Linked DNA regions of Drosophila melanogaster. The protein of the gene in region 2 purifies or fractionates together with the protein of the main gene of each other region. This does not show direct contact. Each region holds a gene or a part of one and is shown on either strand. Other genes may lie near its edges.

What was found. Proteins that work in one complex are often made in the same cells at the same time.
Region 1: the proteins of wge (region 2) and mute purify together in Drosophila melanogaster (affinity purification with western blotting, with the first as the bait; one study listed by BioGRID). This does not show direct contact.

The regions. Positions count from the first base shown.
Region 1 is NT_033778.4:16,948,762-16,958,137, reverse strand, and holds the start of mute (muscle wasted), read left to right. Parts: upstream 1-2,871; 5' UTR 2,872-2,982; coding exon 2,983-3,483; intron 3,484-3,548; coding exon 3,549-3,879; intron 3,880-3,933; coding exon 3,934-5,002; intron 5,003-5,062; coding exon 5,063-5,534; intron 5,535-5,556; exon of another isoform or gene 5,557-5,636; coding exon of another isoform or gene 5,637-5,900; exon of another isoform or gene 5,901-5,986; intron 5,987-6,084; exon of another isoform or gene 6,085-6,301; intron 6,302-6,314; exon of another isoform or gene 6,315-6,387; coding exon 6,388-7,396; intron 7,397-7,463; coding exon 7,464-7,597; intron 7,598-7,657; coding exon 7,658-7,986; intron 7,987-8,047; coding exon 8,048-9,376. Other genes in the region: CG6665 (uncharacterized protein), read right to left, coding at 1-571; PIG-V (phosphatidylinositol glycan anchor biosynthesis class V), read right to left, coding at 1,036-2,385; Ufm1 (Ubiquitin-fold modifier 1), read right to left, coding at 5,637-5,900.
Region 2 is NT_033777.3:22,717,317-22,723,521, forward strand, and holds the start of wge (winged eye), read right to left. Parts: upstream 3,835-6,205; 5' UTR 3,208-3,834; coding exon 2,763-3,207; intron 2,702-2,762; coding exon 2,555-2,701; intron 26-2,554; coding exon 1-25. Other genes in the region: Irp-1A (iron regulatory protein 1A), read right to left, coding at 4,114-4,943, 5,008-5,779, 5,843-5,943, 6,006-6,205.

The DNA of each region.
Region 1 (9,376 bases), on a different chromosome or scaffold from region 2:
ACTCATTCGGATCGTGCCGAGCATGTTCGTACATATCGCAATATTGGTGAATCATTCGCTGCCCTGCTCCGTTAAGCGTCACCGATAAAGTGGTCAGCAGAAAGGCCCTCAAGCTCTCAGGAGCATGTCGGGAGCTACCGTCCGCCCTCGCTATTTCGGATTCTAGCAGTTTCACGTCATCAACCGCCTTCATGCGGTAGTAGTAGGGTGGCAATGGTGCCTCCTGCTCCGGCTGAACGATGTACTTGTCGCCATCGTCCCACAGCAGTTTCGGCTCCTGCGTGATTTTCTGGATGCAATCTAGGCGCCGCTCAATCTCTCTCCTTAGTGCCTTCTTGGCATCATTGCCTACCGGAACGTGGGGCCCCCGACGTCCTCGCAGCTGGAAGCGCATAATCTGCCGCTTGGCAAAGATGAACAGCATCAGGCAAGTAAGTACTCCTCCGCTGATTATGATGATTATCATCACGCCCGAAAGCTGTTCCATGTTGCCGCCCGCCTTGCTGGCCTTCTCCTGAAGACTCGGTGCGGCGTAGTCGCCTACCTTATGCAGGCGCAGATGCCCATCCATGGCGAATACTTTTTAATTCGCGGATATGAAATAATAAACAATTTTCTCAAGAAAATTCTTTGTTGTTTTGGTCAACCACCCAAGTCAGCTGATTCTGAGTGTGACCGCTTACGTTTGGAAAATACTAGAAATACATAATTATATCTTATATACCAAGTTTCAAAAACGAAGCGCAAATTTTAAACACATAATTTTGTAATGGTTAGGAAAATGTAAACTTATGTAACAGTAATACAAAACAATCATTACAATTATTTTCTAAAATGGTCAACAATTTTATTTTTTACTTTTTTGTATATGATATATGGAAATAGAAATGGGAAACCAATACTTTTGAGCGCCTCAACAATTGAATTTTGAGAACTTGGACGATTATTTACACACTAAAAAAGAAATCCATGCGGATGAACAGTCTCTTTGGCAACCAGCGAGTTATATTGCTCCTTTTACTTCAATCATTTTGCTCACGTCCACGGGTAATTATTACTGAATAGCACCGTGCCCACCAAACTATAAGTGGTGCACCATACAAAGAGAGCTCCTGCCTTCGAACGCAGTTTTAGTTGGGCCAGTGTCTTGGGCATGTGGTCAGCGGCAAACCAGTAGAAAACAGGTGTGGCCGAGGCCAGGAGGCGTGTGGACACTTGGATGTGCACGTAGACGGTGCAGACAAGGGTGAGAATCGCAGCGTGCAGCACGAAAGGGAATGTGGTGTGGTCCCTTATCAGCTCCTTGAAGCCAGAGGGCGTCAATTTGGCCCAGACCGCTTTGGCCAAATGCTGCATGTAGTCGTAGCAGTGCCAGTGCATGAAACTCAGCATGGGCAGGGCCAGCAAGAAGTTGGGCAGCTGTTTCCACTTGTAGTATCGCAGGAAGCCCACATCCCAGTAGTGCGACTGCACGTAAGTGTAGGGGAACGGCAACGTGTACTGGCACCAAGGTGATCCTTCAGAGCCCTGGCCAGACAATAGGTACTTCCGTTCCACTGCGTAGTCCACAATGTGCTGCGGATGGTTTGGCCTTGTGTTCGGCAGACAGTATAGCCTGTATATGTAGAAATAGTAGGTGTGCAGTATCCCAATGGCTCCCAGAATGGTCAGCGTCATTTGTGTCAGCTGCATGCAGGTGTTGGGCTCCTTGTTCTTGAGTAGCAGTTGGCGTCCGAAGAAGTAGAGCGGGTATCCCAAGGTGATTAATCCATTTGAGCGGCACAGTAAACAGGCGGCTAAGGCGGTTCCCAAACGCAGATATCGGAAGCTACCCGTCGGCTTCGAGCACTCCAGCATCAGATGAAGGCTGGAGTAGGCGAAAAAGGTCTCTGAGTAGGCGGCGGTGAAGAAAATGGTTGCCGGATTAAAGCAGTAGATGAGGGCCGCATTCCAGCTCTTGTTTAAATCGTTGAACAATACTTGGGTGAGCTGAAACAGCAAATTAGCTGACTCGCAGAAGAGCCAGAAGTTCAGGGCGACAGCCACCACCAGCAGGATAGATTCCTGTGATAAGGAGATCCCGATGGCCTCCACGGCCTGTCCCACGTGACGCACGACAACCGGATATAGTGGATAGAAGGCCAACGTGTTTTCGTAGCTGTACAGATTCTCGGCTATATGCAGAAAGTATTCTCCATCCCAGTGCCGTAATCCTCCCAAGCAGCGCTTAATCACCTTGTCTATCCAGGAGGCATTCTGATCTGACGAAACCGGCATCCGGAATACATCTGGTTTGTGCTCTGGCAGGGCTCCGTTGGCGACCAATTGTACCAGGAGGACGATAAGGCGACTGGCCAGCGCCAGTTTAGTCACTTTCTCTGTCATTTCAGATTTCTAGGTCTTGGGTGGAGTCGATTATCATTCGGCGGGCATGTGATTCATATCAGGTCGAGGGCATACCTCACAGCTAAAACGATGTGGACGGATCTTCTGGCCTGGACACTGCTGCGGAGGGAAAAAGGCAAATCAGCTCCTCGGTTGCTTCTTGAACTGCCTTCTCTTTTGGTGACATTTACTTTGTGAAGCGGTTTTATTATTATATATTATTTTTGGGCAGAAGCCCGGAAAAGCAGAGCATGGTGTGACCAGAGGGTTTGAGGAAGCATTAGACACTTTCGATATATTATCGATACGAGAATAATATATTTAATAAACAGAATTAAATTAATATGTAAACTTAATTCTCGTTGCTCTCGAACTATTAATTTAGTGTACAATACAGCCTTATAATTTAATTTAAAAATAAACAGTTAATACGTCACGTGAATTGCAATCGATACTATCAAACTAATATCGTTGATTGCCCCACCTCAAATCGATATGGCACATTATAGTGGCGGCATTTCCTAAATAAACTGCCGCTTTTATTTGGCAGTTGGGTTGAATTTAAGCTAAAATTTCACTCATAAATGAAGTGTCGCAATGCCGAGCAGTGCAAAGAAGTCGGACTCTGCAAAGAGCAATAGCTCGACGCCACGAAGACCGCGAAAGCGCAAACGAGTGGATCGCCAGAGCCTGGACTCGCAGGTCGATGAGGATGCCAAGGAGATCGATCGCCGGCTACGGAAAGTGGCCAAGAAGAACTCCATCAGTGCCGAGGACATGCAAAAGGTGGTCCGGAAGGTGGTGCGCAACGATCATGTTCTGGCATTAGTCACTTTGAAGGCGGAGGACGAGCTGGCGCGGGAGAAGTTGGAGTCGGCGGAGCAGCAAAAGCGGGGTGCCATCATCATAACGGACACTCCATCTGTGCCCAAGCTAACGCGAGCGAAAGCACGGGAACTGAACTGCACGCCTGGGATCTCGCTGCCCCAGCTCAATGAAACTTCCACCGACAATAATGGTATAGAGGCTCTAATACGTGAGGATTTGCACTCTGATGAGGAGGACGAGGAGTATACCTTCAAGGAGGAGGACTTTCATGTGAGTATAAACATTGAGGCCAATTGATCGTTGTTCAATAATTGTTATTATTCCTTTATTATCAGTCCGATGATGATCCTAACACTACAGCATCGGATTTCGACTCCAATCCCTGCACGCCTCAAACTCCTCTTACTGCCAATGAGGAATCTCCTATCAAATTCTCTGATGACGGTTGTTTCAAGGTGCCGTTGGACAGAAATTTTCAGGATAAAGAGGATCTTAGGATTGCCACTAGAACGCGCTCCAAATTTTGTTTGCAGCAAACTACCATTGAGGATTTGCAGTCGGAATTTGTCCCGCCGGACGTGGAGCCTAGCGATGTGGTGGAGAACGAAATGACCGCCAACGATGCGGATTGGATGCAGTTCCTCAATGACTTTACAAAGCCTTTAAGTATGTAGTATCAATGGATGCTTTTATGCTCTCCCTAACTTTAATATCTTACAGACAATACGGTCCAGGGCGACGATGATGATCCTATTAACGATCCAGAATATGTGGCCGCTGATCACTTGGAATCGGAATATGAGAACGCCGAGGAGCTGCGCGATGTAAATATATCTAAAAAAGAGTTAACTGACCTGGTCTCTGAGCTGTTTGCTGGTTTGCTGGAAGAAGGAGTCTCTCTGGAATCGATTGAATTGGAAACACCTCAAAAATTCGTTGAAAGTGCCAACGTTTCGATGATTCCCATTGATCAAGTGTCCCGTAACATCGATTTTGATGGCCAGCAGATAAATGCTAATCAGCAGGAGCTGTCCGTTTTTCAACCTAATCTAATGCCGCCTCCTTGCGAAGGGAACGAAATGGGCATGGGTGTGCCTGTCCCTGTGGCTGTGCTGCAGGAGGAAACTGGTGGATCCGCTTGCAATGTGGTAAACATACCTTCCGAGGCGCTGACTGTTCCCCCCGAACTAATAGCTGTTCCAATACCTGGGCAACCTAATTGCTTCCAAATCGCCAAAGTTGTAGGCAATGATTCAACTGTTGGTCTTCCATTAACTGAAGAGACACTGCAGAACTTTTCTAGCTTGCATCCAATGGAACCCCCCGTGGTAGCTGCAAGCAATGGAGATCGATATAAAAAACCATTTGATACGAACTTCACCTGGGAATACATCTCGGTTAGGAAACATATATATTCGGAGTATGAGGAAAAGTTTGAGAGCCTGCGAAACGTAGAGCCAGTAAACCTCAATCATCTCGCCAGGAGCAGGGGATTTACCCAGTCTCAGCATGATATGCTTCAGCAGCAGCTTCGCATTCACACGCAGTTGCTCAGTCAAAGCTATCTGCAAACCTACTCCCATCCTACGTTGTACCCCATGGCCAAGAAGCCCAGAGAAATGTTGGAAGAATTGCACAAAATGGCAACTAAAGATCCCAGTTTTAATTGCTGGAATCTGCAGGAGGCTGTTCAGCTGGTTAGAAAATGGGAACATGATCTGTCCAGTGATGAGTTTAAGGAGGAGAACGAGAAGATGATGGACTTCATCAATAAGGAAACGGATCTGACGTAAGTTGGTGAAACTTTAAACAAAACATGCTGCTGTACAACTTGTATTTACTATTTTAGTGATGGCCACACGCGCCAGGTTCCCAGGCTGGCGCCTCGTATTATGGATCTCATGCTGGATAGCCGGGTGTTTATGTATCCGCAGTACCTACCCCGTATGGCGTTTCAACCGAAACTGACTCAAACCACCGCTTACGCACCATCCGAATATCAGCTTATTGCCATTGGCCTAGAGAAGCACTTGGCATTAATGGTAAAAGCCAAGAGACAACTACGCAAAGGTGCAGATCCCATTCGCGTTGCCTGTAAGCGAATGATTAAGGATACGATTTGTGGAAAGACTGCCCGCCGAATTTTCTTGAAAATCGCGGAGCTACGCAACTCAAAACAGTACAATCCAGTGAAGTATTTCTTTGAACATCGTCGAGCACCGCCCGCTAACGCCATCCTTTGGGGATTCGCTGGTGGGCTGGTGAGAACTCCGCGGGAACGACACATGGAGCTTCCCAGTGGCTGGCAATACTACATTGAGGTAAGGAATACAATGGGTTATTATCGGATACATTGTTTAACATTTAATAAGCATCAAAAAGGGGGAAAATCTCAAAGGGTAAATAAGATGGGATTAGGAAAACTAGCTTAGTTGGTGGCCCACTCGATCTCTGGGTATGAGGCGCAGCTCGGATCCGTGCTTTAGGAACACATTACCAGCAGTCTGCTGTGGGCTGATGCCAATTCCATCGTCCGTGATGATGGCACTCGTCTCCGCCGGAACCTTGAACTCTTCAGAGGCGAATTTCAGCACAGCCGTAAAGGGAGTTCCCTCCGGAACACTAAGCACCTTAAAGGGCAGCTTGGGGTCCGAAGTTAGCGTGATTTTGAAGGTTACTTTGCTCATAGTGGAATGTGCAGACGTGGTCAGTTTTGATACTCTATGGGAATAAACGGGTTTCCGATGTTTTCCACAGGCAGAGTGTTTGAGCCCTGGTGGTTAAAGTTTAAACAAGTATAAATTAGTTGGTTTGAAAATAGTTTTAAGGGGTATTTTATTTAAAAACAATAAAATATGTTGACGCTCTTACTTTAGTGCGGTCAATATTACGATAGGCAAGGCAGCGAGTTATCGTCTGTGATGAGTAATATTTGCATAAATGTACCTATGTCCGTACCTAATTAGGAATACATGTTTAGAACTTTATTAATTTTTCTCTTAAATTTTAAGTAATATACTTGCTAGTGATTGTTGGCAGAATTATTTTACGAAATAAATCACTGGTCATCGGTGGCTAGGTACCATCGACCAAAGTTATCGATATCAATATACATAGCTTGTGCCATCGCTGTGTTTATAAATCGCGGACAATTTTCAATCTATTATTTTTCAGAAAACTTGGGATCAAAAGCGCACACGTCGCAATTTTAAAGCATCGAAAGCATCGTCGGTGGCTAGTGCTTCTTATTTGGAGTTTGTACGCGAGGCGGTCGGCGAGGACCTGCTGCTGCCAGAGACTTTTGGTCAGGCTGCGGTCCCCAATGGCAGTGCTGCTGGTTCGGAACCGCCCAAGGAGAGCAAACCGAAGAAAAGGCCAGCGCAAAGGAGACCCCGCCCTGCGGAAAACCCACCACAGCTTACCATCAATGTGAATTATGTTTTTGGCGGGAATACGAGCGCGGGAAACATACCCGGGGTCTCTGGGGTTTCGGTGCCCTTGGTGGCCGGCGGAAATCTGGCCGAGAACGTACTGAACATCAATCGCAGCTTATACACCGCCGCCGAGTGCAGTAGTCTGCTGGCCTTGCCGCCTGCTCCTCCACCATTGGATGAAAATGCTCCGCCAGCCATCAACTTCACAGTAGACAAGTTCACTAACACACTACAAATCTGCGAATTGGAGGAATCCAGCAAGGCCGTACAGCCGGATCTGTTGCCTGCGCAGGATACCCCTTCCGTCCCAGGCAGAAACGCCAAAAGGGCGCGATACCAAATCTTTAAGCCAAAGGTTCAATCCGCCAATAAATCGCGAAAAGGGTCAACACCAACCCGCAGTCGATACCATATATTGCGCGAACGTTTGCGCCATAAACTAAGCCAGCGCTGTCATTCCCTAATCACCACCTATGAATCCTACCTGCGTCATCACATCGAAAAATATAAAGACTGCGAGTTGGTACAGGTCGTGCACAATCGTTTTTTCGCCCTCGAACTGTACACTCAACTTCTGGTCGATCTGAGGATGTTCTGCAGCAATACAAACTCTAAAACGGCAGCGCAGCCAAAGAGATCTAGGAGTGATGATGAGGCGGCGAAGCTGAGAAGAGCCAACCGGCAGGAGGAGATGCTTCGCCAAATGCTCCAGCCGGATACTACAGAAGAGCGCAATCGCAAAGATGCCAGTAAGTTTTAGTTCAATCCCATTTAATGAAATTCAACTTGAATAATTTTATTATTTTGCACGTTCAGTTTTTGCCATGAATTTTTATGAAAAGGTAGAGGAGGCCTTGCTGAGTGCCAATCGCCTAGATGATTGCAAAAAATTCAACAGTATTTTGCAAAACTTCGACCCCAGGCAGGAGAAAGTTTCATCTTTGTATTTGGTATGTATCACTTAAGTGTCTTACTCTTATTGCATTCTAATTTTTTTTTGGGGTTCTTAGAAAGTGGAAGAAATTTTGCTACCCACTCATCCCGAACTGGCTGAAGTATTCCTCAACTTTTTGCTACCTGCCGAGGCCGCTGAGATGGGAAAATTCTTTGAGCACTTTATGATATGCAATGCTACCAACTTTATCAACAAACTTAACATTTACTTCAGTAAGCAGCCAGCTCAAATCAGGAAGATTTATGCCTGTCTAAACGAGTTGGCCGAAATGCCTAATGTCAGCATGAAAAAAGTTGAAAATAAGATAATGCCCTTGCTCAAGGGCAATCAATTTCTGATCGATTGGTTTGTGCAACAATTCCCACAGGGAAAACCACCAAAAAGGTAAGAATGGTAAACAAAATACTCGAGATTGATTTAATGTAACATTGTCTTTTATTTCCAGAATCCTTTCTCCTGTAGAGACCATAAATTTGCATGACGTTCAAAACAATACAACGGGAGAATATACGGAAACTATTCAAGAGTTTACAGATGTACCTACGCCAAGTAAACCAGGTTGTCACTTAAAGTATATCAATGGTCGCATATTTTATGGAGCCAAGATCCTATTGCCTGCCAAACTGTCTTTTATGGCTGCCAGTATTTACAATGAACAATCTCATGACGTGCCACCCGTCTCCAGTGACTCGATAAACTGCGCCCATGGTATTCGTGCCCAGGGAGAAAAACTTCTTAGTATGGCTTCCAATACAGATAGCGACGATGGCGCGGATCGGAGTGAGGAAGATGATGCCAGCCGCGCCTTGATTATTGATACCACGAGTGATGAGCAGAACAGCTGCTCATCTATTGAGATGTGCGATGAGACAGGCTTAAGAGCACATGCAATCAGATTGAATCCCGGCTTGTATACCAACTCAAGCTTTAACAATGCAGCGACCAGTACGCCCAATCTGGGCAACTCTCACCAATCCCATCATCCGCACGCCAAAAAAACTGCCATAAACTTTGGTGAAATATCCCCACGCAAGCAATCGGCATTTAACAACTCGGGATTGAGTCCCTTATCGGCGGCCCCCAACAGTTCCCCTCAAGTCGACAAACGAAAGTCACCTACTAAGAAGATCCGATCTCCTCTTAATCAAACTCAGAGCAGACAACGTGCCAATAATCAGCCAATGGTTGTTATCCATGAGTCTCAGCCTTCATCTTCGCCAGCCATTGAGTGTGCAAAGCGCTTGCGCACGCTGATCGATCAGGAGAGCGTGCGGGATGCAGCAGATACAAAGGCGGGCATTCGAATTATTGCGCAAGCCAAGCAGCAACCTCCAAACCAATGCAGCTCTGAAGCTATTACGAAAGTCGAGGTAGTCAGCCTGGATGAAAGTGCCGAGAATATGCCTTTCTGTACAAATCTCAAAATGGACACAGATCAATCGGAGGAGGAGCTGGAGCCACTGCAATTAAGTGCTGGCAACACACCACAGCACGTGATCACAACACAATTCGATAGCGATGAGGACTGCAAGCTGGATGTTGTGGCCACGCTGGCGAACTGCACCACCACCGAAGATAGATCGGAATCGGCAGCGGCATTACCTGCCACCACATCGCACTCTGAGTCTGGTAGTTCCCACTCGGCACCTTGGACTCGTGAAGAGGACAAAGTAATCCTGATCGAAATGAAAATAGGGGCACGGGATCGAGAGCAGCTCATTCGGCGTATGCGCGCCAAGCTAAAGAATCGCAGTATAGAAGAACTACGTAGTAG
Region 2 (6,205 bases):
TACAAATTGCCGCAACTGGTGGCACCTGAAAGTAAAAAGCAAAAAGGATTCGTTGAATTTTGGGCGCTTTTTTTTCCTTAACCATTGATTCTCAAATTGAATTCTGGGAAGAGATATGCCAACCTATTCGTTTGGCGTTCGTTTGTTTAATAAAGTTTCGGGCCTGCCGTGTAACTTGTAAGTTGTAAGCGAAGATGTGTATGTATACGTGAAATATTGCAATGTCCTTGAACTATGCATTTGGTGACCGCGTGCGCCCAAACCACCCAACCGCCCACCACTACGCCAACCAGGCAACTATCACACATCCCAATCGTTTCGAATAACCCACCCCCTTCCGACACTGTGGCTGGATAATTTCTACAAAAATTCGATTAAAACGTACGTGATGCCCTGTAATTGGATTACATTATGGGTTCTGAATTGGGAAACCCACCACCGCACTCGAATCGAAATGAATGACAAGTATTCGACAGTGTCCCATCTCCGCAAACGCAATTAGAGCTACATCTTTTGACAAGTGATTTGTTTCGGACCGAGAAACTACCCAGGCAAACGTTTATAAATAGCATGTGACTTGTGGCAAGGAAAGGAAAAAAAAAAAAAATAATAACCAGCGGCACGTTAGGAAGACTCTTCCATATGGTCGTCTACTGAATCCAATTCGGCGTGTCATGTTGCTAGGTCCTGTGTCCTGGAGGATGATTCGCCCGGTTTGTTACCCAGTTCCCCTTTAGTTTCCCATCCCCGGAGAACCACTCATGCATCCGAGCATCCAGCTCGAGCATCCCTTATAGGTGATGCCTTACTTGTTCCTGGTTCCCCCACACACACACACACACACACACACACAGATTCCAGACTACTTCTAGCAACAGCCACCGCTGCTACCTTGTCTGAAGTCTGAAAAAACAACCCACCCGAGCACCATGAGTCCATGAGTAATCTGTCTTTGGATTCCCGCTCTGATGTTCCTCTGAATGGCGCCCACGCAACTGGAACTTTAGCTTCAGCTCCATTGGAGCATGCTAACTAAGCCGAAGCCCTCGATACTCTGCTCATTGCCGAACCATAAGTAATGCGCCTACTTTATAAGGGTTTTTTTCTGCACTCAAAAGCACTAGAACCCGCTAAAAATATGTATTTTCTGAAGTCATTCTAAAAATCTAAAAGGAAAACGTATTTGATGCATGAAAATAAACACCCTCAATCGAGAATGAGCTGTTCTGTCAGAGTTTCTTACTAAAAGAGAACTTCTGGGAAATACCCAGAATAGATATAAAAACAAAATTTCAATCTGTTTTTGCATTGGATTTTTATAGCAGCGTTGAACTTCTAGTTTAATAGATATATAAAAATAAAAACCCCCGCAAAAAGTAGCTTGTGACTTCAATTTTATCAGAGTTGATAATAATAAATGAGTAAATGGAGATTCCAGGTAAAAATAACAAAAAATAAGTGCAACTTTGTAAAGTCAAAGCAATACAAATTATATATTCATTTAGTTAAGTGTAATGATTCATTTCCCTGCCATCATATTGCTCTAACCATTTATAGACGTTATCATTTAAAGAATAACATGAAATTCCATGTAGTGATTAAAACAAAGTACACAGTTTCCTGTACTCTTGCTCTTTGATTAAGGCTATGGCACATCTGGTACTATTTTGTAAATAGATTGATATGAAAAAGTAACCCATCCAAGATCATAAAGTTCATGTTCGTGTCATGGGCATGGTTGATTATTTCACCATTAGCAGACTTTAAAAATAATCCGGAAAATGTAATTCGACTGGCTACGGCGACAAAACACACCCCCAAAAAAATATAAACATATTTATGTGCCCATCTAAAGAGCAATTTCAAGTCGACCAGAGCCAAGGCGACGCAAAGCCTCCCTTCTCAAATCGCAATGTGTTTCACTTTCGTTTCACTTCCGCTTTAGAAGTTCGTATGATTTACCACCGGGTTTCCTTCTGCCCGCAAGGGAGGATGGATATGGGGATGAGCCGTTTTGAGTCGAATCCAGTCGATTCGGTGGCTGTCACAACAACGACAGCCGCACAACAGGCGGCCATCATATGATTCCTGCCCTCTAAACTCCAGCGGGTTGTTTAAGGCGGAGACGACACCCTCGGCCATTGCTCACTGATGGAATTCCGCACAGCGCTGAACGTTTGTTGGCAATCTTATTAGTGGCATAATTGAACGACGTCCACGTCCTGGCATCATAAGCATCATATAACGTTGTCCCTTGGGAAGCGCCGTTCATTAGGGGCGCTCAAATCTGGTGACTCAATTGAATTAGATGCCCAGAAGTTACACGGATGGAAAAAATGTATGGCACAAGACAGTGATTGTCTTAAATTTACATATCATTTAACACAAATGGAAAACAGCATCTAGAAATATCTAATGATTCTTTAAGTAAATCATTTGGTATCTCAAAGATAGCAGATACCTTAAAACAGTTTACATCCCCTTGAATATCACTAAGAACTTATTATTTCCATGAGATGAAGCTGCATTTCTCTCTGTGTAGCTTGGCACTCACCGAGGTCAGCGACGCGTATGCCGAAGCAGTTCAAGTCCTTGTTGAGTGGTGGCTGCAGCGGCAGCGTAGCGGGGGTGTTGATAGCCGGCACCAGAGCTTCTTGCGGGCGTTTCCTGGCCACGGCGATGCCAATGGGAACGGAGTTGCCTGATAGAATCGTAATTAACCGATGAGGAGTGCTCTTGACCAGTGGCTGGGTGTCACCTACCTGTGGACTTTTCCAATTCCGATACCTTTGGCGAGGGAGCCTCTATTTTGACGAGAGTGGTCAGTGTGGAGGAGGACATGGTCTTGGAGGAGGCGGTCATCGAGGCGGAAGACAGGCCCTGATGCTGCACCTGGTGCTGGTGGTGTTGGTGATGTTGCTGCTGTTGCTGGTGGCAATTGTTCGAGCTTATTTCGGACACCTGGCAGGGTTCCCTCTTGATCTGCACAAAAGTGTACGACGAGTTGGTCTGCTGATGGTGATGGTGCTGCAGGGGAGTGGCCGTCGCCGCGGAGAAGCCTCCGAATTGATCCAGCTGCAGATGGGCGGTATGGGCACCAGGATGCGATACTGCCGCAGTGGTGGGCACCAGAAAAGTAGCCGTTGCTGTGGTGGCGCTCAGAACGTCGGCGGCACTGCTGCTGGCGCCAGGATTAAACGTGGCCATCGGGTAGCGGTGGCTGTGCACATATATGTATGGCTACCGCTCCCTGGGATCTCTAGCCTATACCTATTTCACTATATATCTTGCGGATTCGACCAAAAACTAAACGTCCATTATCCGCACACACAAACACACGTGGACACACACGGCACACGGACACACACTAGCACTGGCCCACACACACACGCACACAGTCTACATTTTTACAGGTTTTCGCTGCCTCTTTCGGATGCAACATTGGCTACTGGGCCTGCGGCAATTCCCCATAAACAAATGACATAATCCAAAGCGACGCGACGCCACTGGGCACTATCCACAGGTCGAGGGAACCGAAGCACCCACCAGTCCAAGTGCGGTTGCCCAAAATAAAACCCTGTGCGATCCGAGATCTTTTCTTTTTTTTTGTGTTTTTTTTTTTTGGTGGGGAGGCGGAGGCGCGACTTTCCTGCTGCGTTGTTGCGTTTTTGCGCGGTTCTTCCAAGTGAATATCGAGCACTGGCTGCAGAGCTATTGGCCAACACACGATCTGTTGCTTATTTATGTTTTTCTTTTGCGAATTGGAATCAAAATCCTCTGGAGAAAAGTCCACGGGACGGACAAAAAAAGAAGCAGCGAACTATGTTAAGTTAACAGCGATATAACAGGGACTATTCGATTTTATTGCTGCCTTGTCGATGATTCACCAGCAGGCGTTAGGCATTTTTAGCAGGACTGGTTTGGCCATCGGCATTTCTGCTATCGATAACATCCAGAGCGCGCAATTTAAAATATTATAAAATATTTGAAATATTTTTTTTTTAATAATTATCATCTCACAGATGAATGTCAAATTTTATTTCCCAGCACATAATAACAATTAAAAGTCGCCTAGAAATGCATATGGAATATAAAAGTCAACGAACGCACTAACTAATCCAGCATTTTGCGTATCATATAGTTCAAAATGCCGCCATTCTTGTAGTACGTTATGTCCACCTCGGTGTCGAAACGCAACGTGGTCTCAAAGACATTGCCATCAGCATCGACCTGAATCCTCTGGCCCGGCTTCAGTTCGCCCTCGGGCAGGACAATGTTGTACACCTCCCTGCCACTCAGTTTCAGGGTATCGGCGCTCTGGCCAGGCAAGAACTGCAGCGGAATGATGCCCATGCCCACCAGATTTGAGCGGTGAATGCGCTCGTACGATTCAGCAATCACCGCCTTGATGCCCAGCAGAAATGGCCCCTTGGCGGCCCAATCACGTGAGCTGCCACTGCCGTAGTCCTTGCCTACGACCAGAACCAAAGGTGTTCCTTCGCTCGCATACCGTTCCGCCGCATCGAAGATGTCCATCTCCTCGCCACTGGGCACGTGCAGTGTGCTGGGTCCCGTCTTGGATGCCAGTTTATTGACCAGACGGATGTTGGCAAAGGTTCCGCGTGCCATCACCGCATCATTGCCACGTCTGGATCCATACGAATTAAAGTCGCGCGGCGTTAGACCCCTTTCCGACAAATAGCGCGCTGCCGGTGACTTTCGTGCAATGGATCCGGCTGGCGAGATATGATCGGTGGTCACTGAATCACCGAGAAGCAGCAGACAGCGAGCCTTCTCGATACCTTTAAGTTTGGGCAGCGCACGAGTCATACCCTCGAAGAACGGTGGTAGTTTGATGTATGTTGATATTTCACTCCATGGATACAACTTGCTATCCGACACCTCCAACGTTTGCCAGTCCCTGGATCCCAGTTGAATTTTGCCTGTGATAGCGGACACAGTTAGCCTAGAGCTGCGGAAAAATCTTAGTCAGCTAGCTATACTCACTGTACACCTCCTGGAACATGGCGGGAATGACGTGCTTATGCTCTACCTCCTGAATCTCACTGCGCGTTGGCCAGATATCGCGCAGGAACACCTCCTTGCCGTTGGAATCCACGCCCAGCGGTTCGATCTCGAAATCAATATCCACACGGCCGGCAATCGCGTAGGCAATCACCAGCAGCGGACTGGCCAGATAATTGGCCCTAGTATTGGGATGGATGCGACCCTCGAAATTGCGATTGCCCGACAGGACGCCACAGCAAACCAGTCCGTTCTTCTCGATGGTGTTCACTACGTTCTCATCGAGCGGGCCCGAGTTGCCAATGCAGGTCATACAGCCATAGCCCACAATGTCGAAGCCCAGCTGCTCCAGATAGGGAATCACACCGGATTCCCTCAGATAGTAGGTAACCACGCCAGATCCTGGTGACAATGAGGTCTTGATATACGGCAAAATACTCAAGCCCTTCTGCACGGCATTCTTGGCCAGCAGACCAGCGCCCAACATCACCGAGGGATTCGAAGTGTTCGTGCACGAGGTGATGGCGGCAATCACAACAGATCCATGACCTATCTTATAGCTCTTCCCATCGTCCCATTGGAATTCACCACTTGCAGCCAATGCACTCGGTGGTATGGCGAATCCCTTGAAGCCGACAGGACTTATGAGGCACGACTTGAAGTCTTCGCACATGCTGGAAACTGAAACGCGATCGTGCGGTCGCTTGGGCCCCGAAACCGAGGTCACCACGGTGGATAAGTCCAAAGTTACAGACTGCAGGGTAAAAAAGTGATTCGTTAGTATGTCTTTGCATTGGAAAAACAGAATCTCACTTACCTCCGTGTATTGGGGATCCTGATCCACAAGGGAATAGTCACGAAGTTGTCGAGTGGCCTTCAAATACTTCCGGATAATATCGATTTTCTTCTCGGAGCGATCTAATGATCCACATCCATGGATATCAAGTAATAAATTTAGATAATTTTTAAGATTGACTCACTGGTTTGGCGCATGTAACTCAGCGTGTTTTCATCGATTGGGAAGTAACCCACAGTGGCTCCATATTCCGGACACATGTTGCTGATGGTGGCGCGATCCGCGATGCTGAGCTCTGCCACTCCGGGGCCGTAAAACTCCACGAACTTGCCGACGACACCAAGCTGACGCAAATGCTTGGTAATGGTCAGCACCAGATCGGTG